2 linked regions of the Callithrix jacchus genome follow. The protein of the gene in region 1 purifies or fractionates together with the protein of each later gene. This does not show direct contact. Links are inferred from orthologs where the notes say so. Each region holds a gene or a part of one and is shown in the gene's direction. Other genes may lie near its edges.

The links.
Region 2: the proteins of MAGED2 (region 1) and NAP1L4 purify together in Homo sapiens (affinity purification with mass spectrometry; 3 studies listed by BioGRID and IntAct, counting the BioPlex papers as one, with this or other methods). This does not show direct contact. The link is inferred for Callithrix jacchus from reciprocal best matches to the Homo sapiens genes MAGED2 and NAP1L4.

Annotation. Positions count from the first base shown.
Region 1 is NC_133524.1:55,099,033-55,102,782, forward strand, and holds the start of MAGED2 (melanoma-associated antigen D2), read left to right. Parts: upstream 1-1,380; 5' UTR 1,381-1,438; intron 1,439-1,569; exon of another isoform or gene 1,570-1,805; intron 1,806-2,016; exon of another isoform or gene 2,017-2,072; intron 2,073-2,941; 5' UTR 2,942-2,974; coding exon 2,975-3,019; intron 3,020-3,337; coding exon 3,338-3,750. UniProt on the Homo sapiens protein: Regulates the expression, localization to the plasma membrane and function of the sodium chloride cotransporters SLC12A1 and SLC12A3, two key components of salt reabsorption in the distal renal tubule.
Region 2 is NC_133511.1:128,874,268-128,877,917, forward strand, and holds part of NAP1L4 (nucleosome assembly protein 1-like 4), read left to right. Parts: intron 1-3,000; coding exon 3,001-3,142; intron 3,143-3,650. UniProt on the Homo sapiens protein: Acts as a histone chaperone in nucleosome assembly.

The DNA of each region.
Region 1 (3,750 bases):
TGACCATTTGAATTACATTTGGATGTGGAAAGGTATTGAATATTATTTCTGCAACTAACCATTGTGCTGAATTTTACAATGGTTTCTAATAACTTTTTAGTTGATGCTCTTGGGTTTTCCAGGTCTGCAGTTATATAGTCAGTAATTAAGGATGATTTGTCTACTTCCTATTATTTCACATCTTATTTTGTTCTCTTGAATAGATCCAATTGCTTATGTAAATTTATTATGTGGATCGGTAAGATCAGGTCCTTATGGCAGGTTTTCTCCAGATCCCAGAGGATGGGGCCTACCCCTAGTGGGGCTCTCATGGATAGAGAGCCATTTCAAAGGCTCTCCCAATGGGTAGAGGTGCCATCTCAAAGCAGAGAGGGAAAAGATGGATTAGTTTGCACATGATGTAGGGGTAAGAGACTATGATTTTGGGGAGTAATCAAGCTGCATCCGTATAGAAAATAAATTTTGAAATGATCAAACATCTAAACGTAAATAATAAAGCTGTAAAAGTGTTTGAAAAAAAATGGGGATTGTTATAGGAGTGTGAAAAGCATCTTTAAGCAAGCAGCAGAAGCCAGTTGTGATAAAGGAAAAACAGATATATTTGACTACATAATAATTAAACATTTTTGTTTGGCAAAAGTTATCATAAAATGACATGAAAAATATTTCTAATATGTAACACGTACACAAGAGACATTGTTGGTGGGAATGTTATTCCATGTACTTTTTAGGAATAAATTGAGACATTTTGTGTCAAAATGGAAGACTTTTTTGTAGCATTTGAGCTAGCAAAAAAATACCATAAATAACAACAAAAAAAGTGCCCCAAATGTATATGTGTATTGGACTGGTTCAATAAATTATGGGACATCTATACAAGAAAAGATCATGCAGCTGTTTAGAAAAATGTGCACTAATGGAAAGATCTATAACTGGAAAAAATATGTACAGTGGACCGTCTGTTGGAGAGAGAACCTGAATAATAAGTATATGAACAGAAAAAGTCTGCATAGCAAAATGTTAATAGTGGTTATTTCTGGGAGATAAGAGTGGCCTTTCATAGGTATGTTACACATTTCTGCACTGTTTGAATTTTTACAACAACAACAACAAAACAACAACATATTACCTTTGTAATACGAAAATATGAAGATATAAAAATAAATACATTCAATGAATGACTTGCTTTCAGGGGGCGGTTTGGGTTGGAAGAGCTTCAGACTGAGCCTGGTACAGTGGCATAAACATGGGCTTTGGCGTCAGACAGCCCTGAGCGGGGCCTCACTGCCCCACCCCCGAGGAAGGCGAGGGGGGGTGGCAGGGGGCTGCGGAAAGGGGCTGGGCTGGGTTGGGCTGTCTGCAGCTCTAGTCCAGGAGGCTGAGACTTCGAGAGGGACTGAGAGAAGGCAGACGCATCCCGAACTCGCTGGAGGACAAGGTGAGGGGCGTTGAGATCGGGGTTTTACGGCGGTCAGTTAATGGTTCCAGACCTCTCGAACCCATAGCCGGGCAGATGAGCAATTCTTACTGCACCACTGCAGCTGAAGCAGAGGTGACCTGGAGTGGGGTGTAGGCAATGAGGACGACTGAGAAAGTAGTAGGCTGCACAGACTGGGAGCAGAGACTAGCGGAGGAGGAGGGGAGAAAAACGGGGAACCGGGAATGTTGGGAGGGGGATGAGGAATGCAAACGGGGAGGAGAACACTGAGCGGGAGTGAAGATCCTGAGAAGAGTTAATCAGGGATGCAGAGAGGGGTTAAGGAATACTGAGGGGCAGGATGTGCAAACGTCACACGGAGGAGGATGTAAGGAATGGGAAGAGGGAATTCTGTGGAGTAAATAGGAAATGTTAAGTGGGAGTAGGGAGTAGGGAGCGAGGCTAAGGGAATACGGAGGGGGGCAAAAGGAATGAGGAGCAGGGAGCGGGGGAGGGGCAGACAGCCTGGGACGGAGGCCCCCTAGGGAGGCGGAAAGGGGCGGGACCACTTCCGGCCTAGAGCGGGGAGGGCAGTCTCCGAGTTTCGGAGGGGCTTGGAGTGAGTGGACGCACTCGGGAATCGTAGGAGGACGAGGTGAGCAGCCGGGTCGTCTTTTGGATGAGAGCCCCGCTAGGGGTCGGCCCCACCCTCTGGGATTTGGAGAAAACCTGCCATAAGGACCGGATCGTACCGGATCCATCCGGCTGAGAAGGGAGGGGACTGGACCCGGCTTGGCCGGGCCCAAGATGGAATCGCTAGCTCAATATTTATTTGAGGAAGGGGTGTAATAGGGAAGGAGCGGAACCAAGATGCGCCTGTTTGGAGGGGGGCGTGTTAGGAAGAAGGGCGGGGCCAAGAGACACGACTTGGTAGAGCGTGAGTAGGGGAGGGGCCGGGACCACCAAACACTGCGACAATTTTGGAGGAAGGCTTGTTGGGGAGGGGGCGGGACCGATTGGTACTGCGGACCCGGAGAGGGGCGTGTGTTGGGGTAGAGTGCCAGGCTGAGACCACGACCATCGCGCATGCGCAGTATGTATCGCTAGAAAGGGGCGTGTTGAGTAGGGCCAGCCCTGAGACGAGCCAGCTGCTGAATGCGCATGTGCACGGTGGACATCAAAGAAAGGGCTCGTGCGAAAGCGGGCGGGGCTGAGATCGGCCCCGCAGCCGACGCGCATGCGCTCTATCGACCTGCAGCTGGGTGGGGGGTGCACTGGGAAAAGGGGCGGGGTCCTCAGAGCTGCCGCGCTGGCACATCTTCCTGGAGAAAGGGGAGGGTGCGGCTGCAGAGAATTGAGACTTAGACGCTTTGGATTCCTGTATCTGACTGAGAACAGAGTCATTGGGGGTGGTGGAGGGGGTTGGAATTGGGGACCTACGGAGGGTGAGGATCAGCCTCCAGGCACAACAGGGGAGAGGACGTTCAGTGGGCTTCAATTTGACCCAGGCCTTCTCCCCTTCAGGCTCAGCTCTTTCTTGCCAGGCCAAATTGAGACATGTCTGACACAAGCGAGAGTGGTGCGGGTGTAACTCGCTTCCAGGTAAGGCCTCTTTCTGTCCTTTTCCCAACTGTTTTCCTCTCCAGCCCTTGTTGCCACCCTCCCATCCTTGTCTTTCTCCACCTACTTTACTGCCTGGGTGTCCCCCTGCCCAGTGGAGGGAGGGTGAGAAGGTGGGCGGGCCCCTTTTCTGCCATCAGTTTTTGCTCAGAGGAAAGGGAGGCCTTGTTGGGTTGAGGTGGTCAGAGCACACCGGTAGGAGTCAGTACAGGTCAGAGAAGTGTGGCCTTAGAATTTTGGGCCATTTGCTTAGTTGGGGGTGGGAAGAAGATCCGTGAACTTCCCTGCTTCCTCTTGCAGGCTGAAGCTTCAGAAAAGGACAGTAGCTTGACGATGCAGACTCAATTGACAGTGACCCAGAATGTGGAGGCCCCAGAGACACCGAAGGCCTCAAAGGCACCAGAGGTCTCAGAGGATGTGAAGGTCTCAAAAGCCTCTGGGGTCACAAAGGCCACAGAGGTCTCAAAGACCCCAGAGGCTCAGGAGGCACCTGCCACCCAGGCCTCATCTACTACTCAGCTGACTGATACCCCGGTTCTGGCAGCTGAAAACAAGAGTCCAGCAGCTGACACCAAGAAGCAGAATGCTGACCCACAGGCTGTGACAATGCCTGCCACTGACACCAAAAAGGCCAGCTGTGTGGCTGATACGAAGGTCAATGCAAAGGCCCAGGAGACTGAGGCTGCTGCCTCTCAGGCCCCAGCAGATGAACC
Region 2 (3,650 bases), on another chromosome or scaffold:
AGCCTGGGTGACAGCGAGACTGTCTTAAAAAAAAAAAAAGTGGGGTCTTGCTGTATTGCCTACGCTGCTTTTGGATTTGAACTCTTAGGCTCAGTTCGTTCTCCTGCCTCCGCCTCCCAAAATGCTGGCTTGACGGGTGAGCCACCACACCTGGCTGATACCTTTGCTTTCCTACAAGAGGCCTGTGTCCTAGATGCATTGCAATATGAAAATGAGAAGGACGGTGACCCTCAGATGGCTCGTCAGGACCTCCGTCTTCGTTCTGGAAGGAATTTTGGTTTTTGAGTCATAGTCTCACCCTGTTGCCCAGGCTGGAGTGCAGTGGCATGTAATAGCTCATTGTAACCTTGAACTCCTGAGCTCCGGTAATCCTACCTCAGCCTCCAGAGTAGCTGGAACTGTAGGCGTGTACCACCGTGCCTGGCAGTTTTGTTGTTGTTGTTGTTGAAAGGAATGAGCTGTTACTGGGCTTCCATTTATAATTGGGTCAGGGCTTGGTCTCTCCGAGGTCCCACCTTACATACTGGTTTCCCCAATTACGACTACCAGGGCAATTATGACAAGAAGGGGACTTCGTATTTTTTTGAGACAGAGTTTCACTCTGTCACCCAGGCTGGAGTGCAGTGGTGCACTGTCTCAGCTCACTGCAAGTTCTGCCTCCTCGGTTCAGGTGATTCTCCTGCCACAGCTGGAATTACAGGTGTGAGCCACCATGCCCACCTAGCTTCTTTGTATTTAGATGTGCTGAACTCAGGTTTGTTACATAGGTGTACACATGCCGTGGTGATTTGCTGTATGCTTTCTTGTGTTTTTAGTAGAGACGGCGTTTTACCATGTTGGCCAGGTCAGTCAGAGTTTGCTTTGCCCATTTAGAAGCTTTTCAGGGGATTACTTAGTGGGTAAGATTTTTTGATGTTTTTTTTTTTGCAGACTAGATTGATGGGATGGAGTGATACTGAGCGGGAGTGGCAAGAATTGAGAATGAGTAATGGTTTCTGGTTTTCTCGCTTTAAAACTGGGCTAGTGGGGTGGCATTCTGTGAGGAACTGCTTGGGTGGCAACAAGTTTATGTGGGACTAGAAGTGGTTTCGTGTTGGCCGCATTCCAGGAAAAGTGCAGGGACCTGGGTGTAGTTGATATGAATGATTGGGGGACTGCTGGGGCACGCCAGGGTCCAGTTTGTTTAACATGCTTTGTCATTTTACTTCAGTTGGAAAGTTTCGAAAATTAAACTAATTTAAAATCGTATAATTAGCCAGACATGGTAGCTAACACCTGTAATCCTAGCACTTTGGGAGGCCAAAGCGGGCAGATTGCCTGAGCCCAGGAGTTTGAGACCAGCCTGGGCAATGTGGCCAAACCCCATCTCTACAAAAATGCAAAAAAAATTAACTGGCCTGGTTGTGTGCCCCTGTAATCCATCTACTCGGGATGCTGAGGTGGGAGGATCATTTGAGCCCAGAAAGTTGAGGCTACAGTGAGCCGAAACTGTACCACTGCACTGCAGCCTGGGCAGCAGAGTGCCCTGTCACAGTGAACAAATGATCAGAGCAGAAGAGAGGCACAAATGCCAGTGAGAGTCCAGTTCTTCATGCTTTTCCCTCGTTTTCACCTACCAGCAGTAGTTCCAGAGTGTTAAACATTATTTGAGAGTCAGTGCTTAAATTAAGGACCTTAGCTGTGGTTCTGTTTAACCCCGGAGACTGGTCCTTTGGGATGCAACGCAGTTGTTCTAGTAACTGCCAGCCCAGTGATACCTGTGTGAGAACTGCCTATTGTTCTGTGCAGTGTGATGTTGGAGGGTAAGTCATGCGCTTAGACTTAGGACTCTGATCATGTGAATGAGTATTCAAGATGCAGGACCCAGGGCCTTGCCCCAGGGTAGATTATTTGGGTCTGTGATGAGGCCAGGAATCTGTTCTTCAGTCCGCATGATTGTGACACATAGTTCTGATGGGTTAAAAACAGGGATTTCTCTTCTGACTTATAGAAGTTATACATACAAACTAAAATATTTTTTAAAACATGGAAAAGGATTGAAAGACAGACTCATCGTTGGCCTGACTCTAAGACAAACTTGTGTTATCTATGGTCTGTGTTTCTCCAGTGTGCCAAGTGGATCCCACGTGGCACTGAATATTCTTGGACAGTGCGGTGATGCATAGGCTGTATTTGAACTTGCATCGTGTAGTTTTCAGTTTTACGGATCTATCGATGGACACTCCAGCATGAATACTTGATTAGGATAAATTTTTTTTCCCTCTTTTGGTAAGATAGAGTCTTGCTCTGTTGCCCAGGCTGGAGTGCAGTAGTGCAGTCATAGCTTCCTGCTGCCTTGACCTCCCAGACTCAAGTGATCCTGCTGCATCAGCCTCCCGAGTAGCTGGGACTACAGGTCAGCTGCACACCATCATGCCTGGCTATTTTAGGAAGTTTTTGGTAGAGAGGGGTCTTGCTCTATTGCTCGGGCTGCTCTTGGAGTCCTGCCCTCAAGCAAAATCCTCCCACCTTGGCCTCCCAAAGTGGTGGTATCACAGGCATCAGCCACTGCGTCCCGCCTGAAGGATAAATTCTTAAAGGTAGAATTACTGGGTCCAAAGAACATTTTCAGTATTTCTGCCCTTAAGAAAGATGAATCAGTTAGAGGGCTTCTTAGCCCTTAGCCTCATAAAACCTAGGTGTTTTGTTTTGGTATTAATTGCCAATTTGGTAAGGAATAGATGAGTGCTTTTAAATGTTTACATTGTTTCGGATATTTTATGAGATTGAACCTGTCTTCGTGTTGGACAATTTGTGTTTATTCTTTCATGAATTGTCTTTTCTGCATCCTCCTGTACCCTTTTTTACTGTTGGGATGTTCAACCTTAATGATTTTTAAGAGGTCTTGTTCATGGTAAGGGTGTTAGTTCTGCCAACCTGAATTTATTTTAATAGAATTGAAAAGCATGCTTCCTTACTTTGCAGGCATGAGGATGTTGTCTTTCTTATTCCCTTTTTTAGTTTACCTAAAGCAGTAAAAAGAAGAATTAATGCATTGAAACAACTTCAGGTGAGGTGTGCTCATATAGAAGCCAAGTTCTATGAAGAAGTTCATGACTTGGAAAGAAAGTATGCAGCATTATACCAGCCTCTCTTTGACAAGGTAGGGGCTCTGTTAATGAGGTTAATATGCAGACGGTGTTATGTTCTGATAAACCCAGTATAAGTTGACAACATCTAGGGCAAAAAGGCATCTCACCTACCGGATGTAGCTTAGTCTGGACTACCTTAAACGAGCCCAGAACACTTTGACCTTCCACAAACCTGTTTTATAATAAAGTGCTGAGTATCTCGTGTCCTTTACTGAACACTCCACCGAGAGTAGAACACAGTGTGGCTCTGTGGGTGCCCGAAGTTTGGTAGCTTCTGCACCATTGTGAAGTTGAAAGTCTTTAGTCGAAGCATTGGAAGTTGGGGAGCATCTTTATTTTAGATCTTTAGGTGAAACATCCAGAGTTACCCAGGGAAACATTGAGTATTTTTCTTTGAACGCTAAGATTTAGAATCTTAAAATATTTGTAAAAATAAGCAGTTTTCAAAGTCGTTTTATAGACATTATTTATACATTTAACTCTTGAGTTTCCAAATAAGCTAATAACATAATCCTAATA